2 linked regions of the Ovis aries genome follow. The protein of the gene in region 2 interacts with the protein of the main gene of each other region in a biochemical or structural test. Links are inferred from orthologs where the notes say so. Each region holds a gene or a part of one and is shown on either strand. Other genes may lie near its edges.

Region 1 (3,792 bases), on a different chromosome or scaffold from region 2:
TTGGGTGATGCTGTGTGACCTTGGGTGTGACTTAACCCCAGCCTCCCTCTTTCCTCTTCTGTAAAACAGAATTAAATAATATCGACCCCAAAGTTATGATAAAAGGTTTCAATGAGATCAGTTAAAACACTGACACATCAAAGGCAGTAGTTCCTTAATTTTCTCTTCTTTTCCTATCCCAGGAAAAAAAATGAAAATAGCCTAGCCTTGCATACAAGGAAGAAATTGAATTATTTGGAAAAATGGGCAATGTTTATGTAAATCACTGCCAAGCCTAAAATAATACAAGTGACCATTTAAAATAAACTGGCTTCCCTGGTGGCTCAGTGGTAAAGAATCTGGAAGCAATGCAGGAGACTGGGGTTCGATCCCTGGGTCAGAAAGATCTGCTGGAGAAGGGAATGGCAACTCACTCCAGTATTCTTGCTTGGAGAATCCTATGGACAGAGGAGCCTGTGGACTACAGTCCATAGGATGGCAAAGAGTCGGACACAACTGGGCAACTAACACTTTCTTAAAACAAAGGTTAGAGAGCAACCCAGAAAATGATGATGATCAGTGTTAAAGAAAGAAACTTAATGCAAAACACCCCCAATTCAACCATGTGTAAAACAGATCCCTGGAGAAAAAAAAAACTAAAGGAAATACACCAACATAAGAGTGGTTGGATTGAAGGTGAGTAGAGATAAATAGTATACAGGTTTCTTTTTCTTATTTTCTAAAAGTTCTGAAAGTATATTAAATTTATAATAAAAAATTTTATTTCATAAAAAAAATAACATTCCCAGAACCACCGCAGGAACAATTGTAACAAGAGTCAGAGCGTGTTGAGGGTGAGAAATACAAGGAAGAGGGGAGGGATGGAGCCACACCAGAGGGCCCTAGGGGTGGGGAGGGACTGTCAGCTGTCTCCAGCACCAGCCAGTGGGCATGGGGCTGGCCATGGGCACCGACGGCAAAAGGCTGGTCAGGGGCTTTCTGGGGCCAGACTCCCAGAGCTCCAGTTCAGACAGGAAAGATGTTTGGCCTGAAGTTTGCAAGGTGAGTTAGGGCTTCTGGGGCTCTAGTGTCACACAGGGAGATGCCATGCTGCTGTGACGGAGACCTCCGCCTTGCCTGCTGTCAGGAGCATCCTCAAGGTCAGCCCCTCTTTGCTCCTCTGTGGGAGGGAGGGACACAGCGCCCTCCCCCACCCTAAGAAGAGCAGGCAGGGGTGTCTGAGGTCCCTGTCACCACTGCTTCAGCCCCCTCCCACCCTGCTCCAGTTCCAGGTGTCCCCCTCCCTCCCTGTCCACGTGGCCTGCAGGAGCAGGGCCAACCACAAGGCAGCATTCACAAAACAACAGCCTTTAATGGAAATCCAGAAGGAAGGAGGCAGAGGAGGGAGCAGGGATGGGGCCTCACCCATATCTGTCGCACCCTCCGGCCAAGCCTAGATGGTGACCTGAGGCCGTCCCCTCCCCACACTTCACAGCTCTGTGGCAGGAAGGCGGGATGTCAGTGACCCCTTGTCTAGCACACCTGCAGGGAGAAGGGCCTCTGGGAGCCCAGGAGGCTGTGGGTGGTATGAGCAGAGCTCAGACACAGGAGACAGCAGGAGGTGAAGCAGCAACAGAAGGTGTCGCTTAAGCCAGAATGATGTCTGAGGTCCCCCAGGGAAGGGCTGTTTGTCTGCTGGGTTGGGGGCAGGGGTTAGGAGACAATCACCCCCCAGTCTGGGTCTGATACTTGGAGAAGGGCTTAGGGGCAGAGCAAGTGCCAGTATGCAAAGGGCAGGTGTAAGCTTCAGTGGCACTGTGGTTGTTGGCATCAGGGCTCAGGTCAAGGGCAGGGAACGTGGTGCCTGCTTGTGTCCAGAGTGCGGAATTGATCCAAAGTCCCCAAGTTCCCCAGTGCCATTCTCTGCTGAAGCCATGCCTGCCCCTGACCTCCACCCCAGACACCTGGGACCTCCCACCCCTATTTAGCCTCTTGCAATGTTCCCACAGCCACCTTCACTGCTTGGAACACAGCCCAGTCCATCTAGGAGAAAGAGAGAGGACAAGGAGTTTACAGTCATGCCCCTGGGCTCACCCTGCCAAGAAGGCCCTCCCTGGACCCAGCTCTGTTTGATGGCGAAATTGGGCAGCACAACCAGGCTCCTGGCCAGTGTTCCACTCACCTGGGCATAAAGCAAGCGGTGGTCAGTGGGCAGGCTGGGCCCCTGGTGGCAGAGCTGAGCAGAGAGGGCAGAGGTCTCAGGGGACATGAAGTGCTGAGTGACGCTCACTGTGCTTACCAGGCCCTGCACCTGTGCCAGGGAGGAGACAGGTCGGGGGGGCGGTCAATGGAGACTCAGGGTGACGCATCCTGCCCCTCTGATCCCTGAGCTCTACTTCTGGTTAATGAGCCCCACCCAACCAGCTCTCAGAGAGCGGATGTCCTGGATCCAGCAAGGGGCACCACAAAGGGTGTGGCCAAAAGTAGGCCAAAGGGATGCCAGAGATGGTGCAGGCAGAGCAGACATCAAGGGATAAGCTTGATGCCCAGTAAGCTTGATGACTTCAAGACCACAGGATTCTCCTCTTCCCTCCAATGGAGGCATGACTTCCTGTTCTGCCTAGCTCCGCAGGAAAAACAGAGGGTGTAACAGCCTGGGGACTGCTTCTGATACTCTGAGCTCTCTGCAGAGAGCCCCCACTGGCACGCGCTGGGGAAGCACCTGGTGGGGAGCCCCCGCGGGCACCAGCACAGCTTCTCCGGGGGCCTGCAGCAGGGTCCAGCAGCTCACACCCCACTCCTCCCGCAGGCGCCGCCGCAGCCCTGCGTCCAGGTAGCACCTGCCAGGGGTACCAGGCTCCAGGTTTCCTGCCCCAGTGGGGCACACCTCAAAGAAGAGAAGGAGGGATGAGCAAGTGGAGTGGGGGAGAGGCTAGGGTAGGGCTGCAGGAAGATGGGGCGTGGGCTTCCCAAAGGCCAGAGACACAGGTAGGAGCTGTAGAGTCTTGAAGGGCAGGTCGGGGAGGATGTAGAGGTGACGGGGACAGGACCCGGGTACTGGGGCCTGGGGCCGCTTAGGCCAGCAAAGCAGAGATCTGGAAGATCAGAAGGAAGGATTAAGAGTCTGAGGCAGAGGGTCCAAATCTCTGCTTTTCCTGGGGATAGATGGCTTGAATAGCCTCTGTGTCTCTGGCCCTGGGCTCTCTGCTCCCTCCTCCAAAGGTACTCCGTTCTCCAAAACCCAGGAAGACATCCTGGAGAATCGCAACTCATAAACCGTCTATGCCAGGAGCTCTTAACTTGGTGGAGCTCTTAACTTGGTGGAATCCTGGGACATCCTGAACTGCATGCTAAAGTGGGTGAGTAGGTAGCCATATGTCCCTAGGAAGACAATTTGAAGCTTTCATCAGATTCTCCTAAGATCCCAGATCCAGACTCAGAAGTTCTGACTCTCAGTGGATGAACCTAGACTGTCTAGGCTGAGGCCTTTGAAGTAGGCAAAGCTTTGGGGGGCCTTTACCACCCCGCCCCTCTCCAACCAGAGTGGGGACCTCTTGTGCAGACGGGGGCTCATGGAGGCCAGGGGCCAGGGGAACCCAGCCTTGTGCTCCAGGTGCCCACCAGCTCCTTCCAAGCCCTTCAGTTAGGACCTCAGCCATTATCCCTGGGCTCAGGGTTCAGACATCCAAGACCCGGCTGATGAGTCAGGCTGGACCATAGGCTGGACTGTAGGGTAATCCCAGGCAGGTGCCAAGAAGTCCGACCTGGAATCTGAGCAGTGTTTCCCAGGCCTCTCAGTGAGGCTATGCCCCT
Region 2 (3,810 bases):
TGGGGAGGGAGTGCGCTGTCCGCTTCACCTGGAGAGGAGGTATAGTGATCCGAACAGGAGGAGGACGAGTTTCCAGAGAAGCTGGGAGTGAGTATCGACCTCGAAGCATGGTTCCCCTCGTCCTCATCCTTGCGAACTGGAGGCTGGAAGGGAAAGGAGGAGTGTCAGAAGCCCACATTAGAGGTCATCTTCTTCCCCCAGCCCTGGTCTTTTGTTTATAGGAGGGGCAGTCCTCCCCAGGGTCAGAGGGCAGAGCAGCTTCCAGCCCTCCCCAGGTGCTGTGCCCAGATCCCCTCGCCCTCCAGCTCACATACCCGGAACTGGCTGAAGTCGGAGTAGGTGTCATCGTAGGTCTTGTGGTGGGCGTCCAGCAGGGTGGTGATGATGCGCTGCTGCTCCTCCGACAGCTTCGGCCGCAGGCTGTCCTTCAAGGCCTCCTCCTCCTTCCGCTTGAGGATCATCTCCCGTTTCCGCTGCACCTCTTCATCAGTCAGGATGACTGTGGGGGTGCCGGAGGGGGGTGTCAGGAGGACGGGGCCTGCAGTGCCTCCAAGGAAAGTTCCTCCAGGTGTAGAGGCCCCAGATGGGAGGGGCTGGGCCCTGGCACTTGGAGCTCACCAGGCCATCCTGCCACGGGGACCCAAAGCCCATGATATGGATGGAAGAGTGGGTGCTGTATGTTGAAAAGGCAGGAGCATGAGAGAGGAGGAAACAGAGGATTTGGGAGGCAGGATGCTTGGGCATCATTAAGGAGACTGGGATCCCAAGAACAAGATGTCTGACTCTGAACAGAATGAACTCTCCAGGCTTCTGGTTGCTCATTTCTAAAATGAGGAGTTTGGACCATAGGATCTCTCCTAAGATCCCTTTTTGTCCCTTCTTCCAGGAAGCATGTGGTGTGGGGATCCTACCTCAAAGGACCAACTGCTTTGAGACCTGAATGCAGCCCAGCACAGAGCAGATGCTCACTCAGGGGGAGGGAGGGTGCAGGGTCCCAGTGTCAGAAGCTAGGAGATGCTGAGAAGACCCCTCTACGTGGTCATCCCCATGTAACTTTCCAGGCATGTGATCTACTCTGACCAATGTAGACAGACTTTGCCTCTTAGGTTCCTCCTAAGAGGAGGAACAAGCCCTCCTTCAGTCCTTCCAGTCTTGAAATTTCTGCCCAAGGAAGTTTTCCAGTCCTTCAGAAGTCCCTGAGGATAGATAGCAGCTCACAGCTCTATCTGGGAAGCTCTCTCCAGTGGCTAACCAGGGTGTCTGACTGCAGGGGCTCCAAGCCTCCCTGTGCTGGGTGACTGCCGGGAGGGTGGGGCCGGGAGCAGACCTGGCACACAGACCTCCCGGCCGGGGCTTGCAGAGCGCTGACGGCAGGAGTGGGCACTGGGGCCCTCGGCGTGTAGCTGCTTGCTCTGTGCTAGTCTTGCCAGGGCATCTGCCCACAGAACCGAGCGTTTCACAAGAGCAAGAAAAAGAACCAGAATGCCAGAGTGGGTGGCTTCTGGGCTTCAGGAAAGGCCCATGGGCCTTGGCCTCTCGGGTGGGGGTAGGACGAGAGAAGTGGGGGTGAGGGAAGGAGAGCCTGTGGTGGGTGTGAGTGGGCAGCGCAGGAAAGGGAAGCCGGTGGCGGAAGATGGCGCGTTCCCTCCAGAGCTGAGGTAAACCGTACCTAGAGGAAGACTGGGCGGAGGCCACGCCCAGGTTACTGACTCACCTGCCCAAAGAGCTGCCCGCCCTCCTCCCACAGAGGGTGTCAGTTCAGACCCCAAGAGATACAGCAGACGGGAGCGGGAAGGAGCAGGGAGCACCCCATTCAAGGCAGGGTGTGAGACGCTAGCCTGGGGAGCCCAAGATTAGGGACAGAGTCCTTCCTGTTCACCTGAGGGGCAGGCGCAGGACGCGATGAGGCTGGGCTTGGGGGGACGGCTCTGGCTGCCCACAGGGGTGCTTTTCAGCCCCACGGGGCTCTCATAATCCCCTGTGATCCTATGACGTCACTGTCCTGCTCAGAAACTTCTGAATCCTTCCTGCTTACCATGCCCCACGTGAAGCCAAGATTCTTGGTGATTTCCCTTCTTCCTAACTTTCCAACCTCACTGCCGGGGTCTTGACGCAGCAGCTGGTCTGGCTGCACTGGGGTTGCTGGCCTGTGAACAGGACCCGCTTCTACTGCCACTGCCATCTGCACGTTCCCCGTGCGCCATCTGCCTGTCCAGCTGGGCCTTCTCTCCCCAGTAGCCATGCAGATTTACCAGTTCCCCAGCACCCAGCTCACACCCTCTTGTACCACAAAGGCTTCTGTATTGCCCTGATCGGCAAGGAGCAGTTTTTCCCACACACATCAGCACCCGATCTTTTTTCACTCTGTCCCATCTATGGTTATAGGTTCCAATAAATACTTGCAATAGAGAGAGCCTAAGTTCAAGGTCTTCTTCACTAGAACTGCAGGGCATCTAAGGATGGGGGCTGCATCTTACAATGCCTATATCTCCCATGCCAAGGCTAGCCCAGTGGGGCATCCTCAGTGGTCTGATGCACTGGAAACCCAACATATCAGCATTGACTGTACCTACTGTGTGCTGGTCATCCTCTGGACGTGCACCAATGATGCCCATCCCCTACAATTTCAGGATGGCACGCTCCACCTACCAGTCCACCAGATCGCTGAGCAAAGTTTACATTTTCAAATACTTGTGACAAGTATTTTCAAGACAGAACCCCTTGTAACGGAGCACCTGCAACATCAGGTGACCTTTGCTTGATGGTTCAGAGGCATCGTTCTGAATAATTACTGGACTTTGCGGGAATAAGGCTATGACCTCAGAGCCATAGGGGTCTGTTTTTCTGCACTGTGTGACTCAGTCTGCCATGATTTTGAGTTCCTGTCTTACTCTTCCAACCAGTCTATCCTGCTGTCTTAGGCTATGTGATGTCTCTTCTTACTGGAGTGTACTTTTATCCTCCTTAACAGTTACTTCTAATCTTCTGGGAGCCAGAAACTCTGGTGATCAAGCGGTATGTCATTAAAAATGCCATTAATAAATACATTGTTAATAAAAATAAAGTTTTTTTTTTTTAATGTACCAAGCACTATTCCAAGTACTTCTTACATATTAACTCACATTATTTGGTCCTTATAATAACCCTTAAGGCAGATGCTGTTATCCTCATTTTACAGGTGAGGGAACCTGAGAGCCAGAGAGGCTATCAAGCTTGCTCAAAGTCACAGAGCAAACAGACAAGGCAGAGCTGGAGTCGGGTCTGAGCAGTCTGGTTCTAGAGGCCAGTGTCCTAACCACTACTCCGCACTGCCTATGACTATAATTGGCTGTGAATGCTCAGCCAGACTCTGGTCTTCAACTGTGGAGTCATGACACACAGGTGTTCTGATCCACCCAAAGAGTGTGCGAAAATAATGATTAAATAAAGTAGCAAGGCTTGTAAGTGATTTACGTTAAAAGGATAACGTTAAGAGATTTGAGGTTAACCTTATGGCATTTCTCCTCTCCGTCATTTCTAGCAAATAGCAACCATCACCCTGTTTGCAGTACCAGAGGAAGAGCCACTAAGGTCTGCTGGTTTCAGATGAAGGCTGCCAATCCATGGACCTCCCTGCAGGCAACGTTGGCAGGGGACTAGATAAGCTATAAGCCTCTCACATATGCAGATATTGTTGTGACTTATAAAATAGTTCATTTCCTTAAAGGGGTTGTTAATTTCATAGGATGCTTAGAAAATAATTTTCTCAATAAATTGCTACTAAAAATACCATTACTTTTGTGTAGGAGAACACTTTTTTTGTTGTTTGTT

Evidence for each region.
Region 1: the proteins of VDR (region 2) and HR form a complex in vitro, tested with the Homo sapiens proteins (2 studies listed by BioGRID and IntAct). The link is inferred for Ovis aries from reciprocal best matches to the Homo sapiens genes VDR and HR.

Annotation. Positions count from the first base shown.
Region 1 is NC_056055.1:43,491,652-43,495,443, reverse strand, and holds the end of HR (lysine-specific demethylase hairless), read right to left. Parts: intron 2,867-3,792; coding exon 2,702-2,866; intron 2,291-2,701; coding exon 2,162-2,290; intron 2,023-2,161; coding exon 1,960-2,022; 3' UTR 739-1,959; downstream 1-738. UniProt on the Homo sapiens protein: Histone demethylase that specifically demethylates both mono- and dimethylated 'Lys-9' of histone H3. May act as a transcription regulator controlling hair biology (via targeting of collagens), neural activity, and cell cycle.
Region 2 is NC_056056.1:138,722,911-138,726,720, reverse strand, and holds part of VDR (vitamin D3 receptor), read right to left. Parts: intron 500-3,810; coding exon 315-499; intron 144-314; coding exon 29-143; intron 1-28.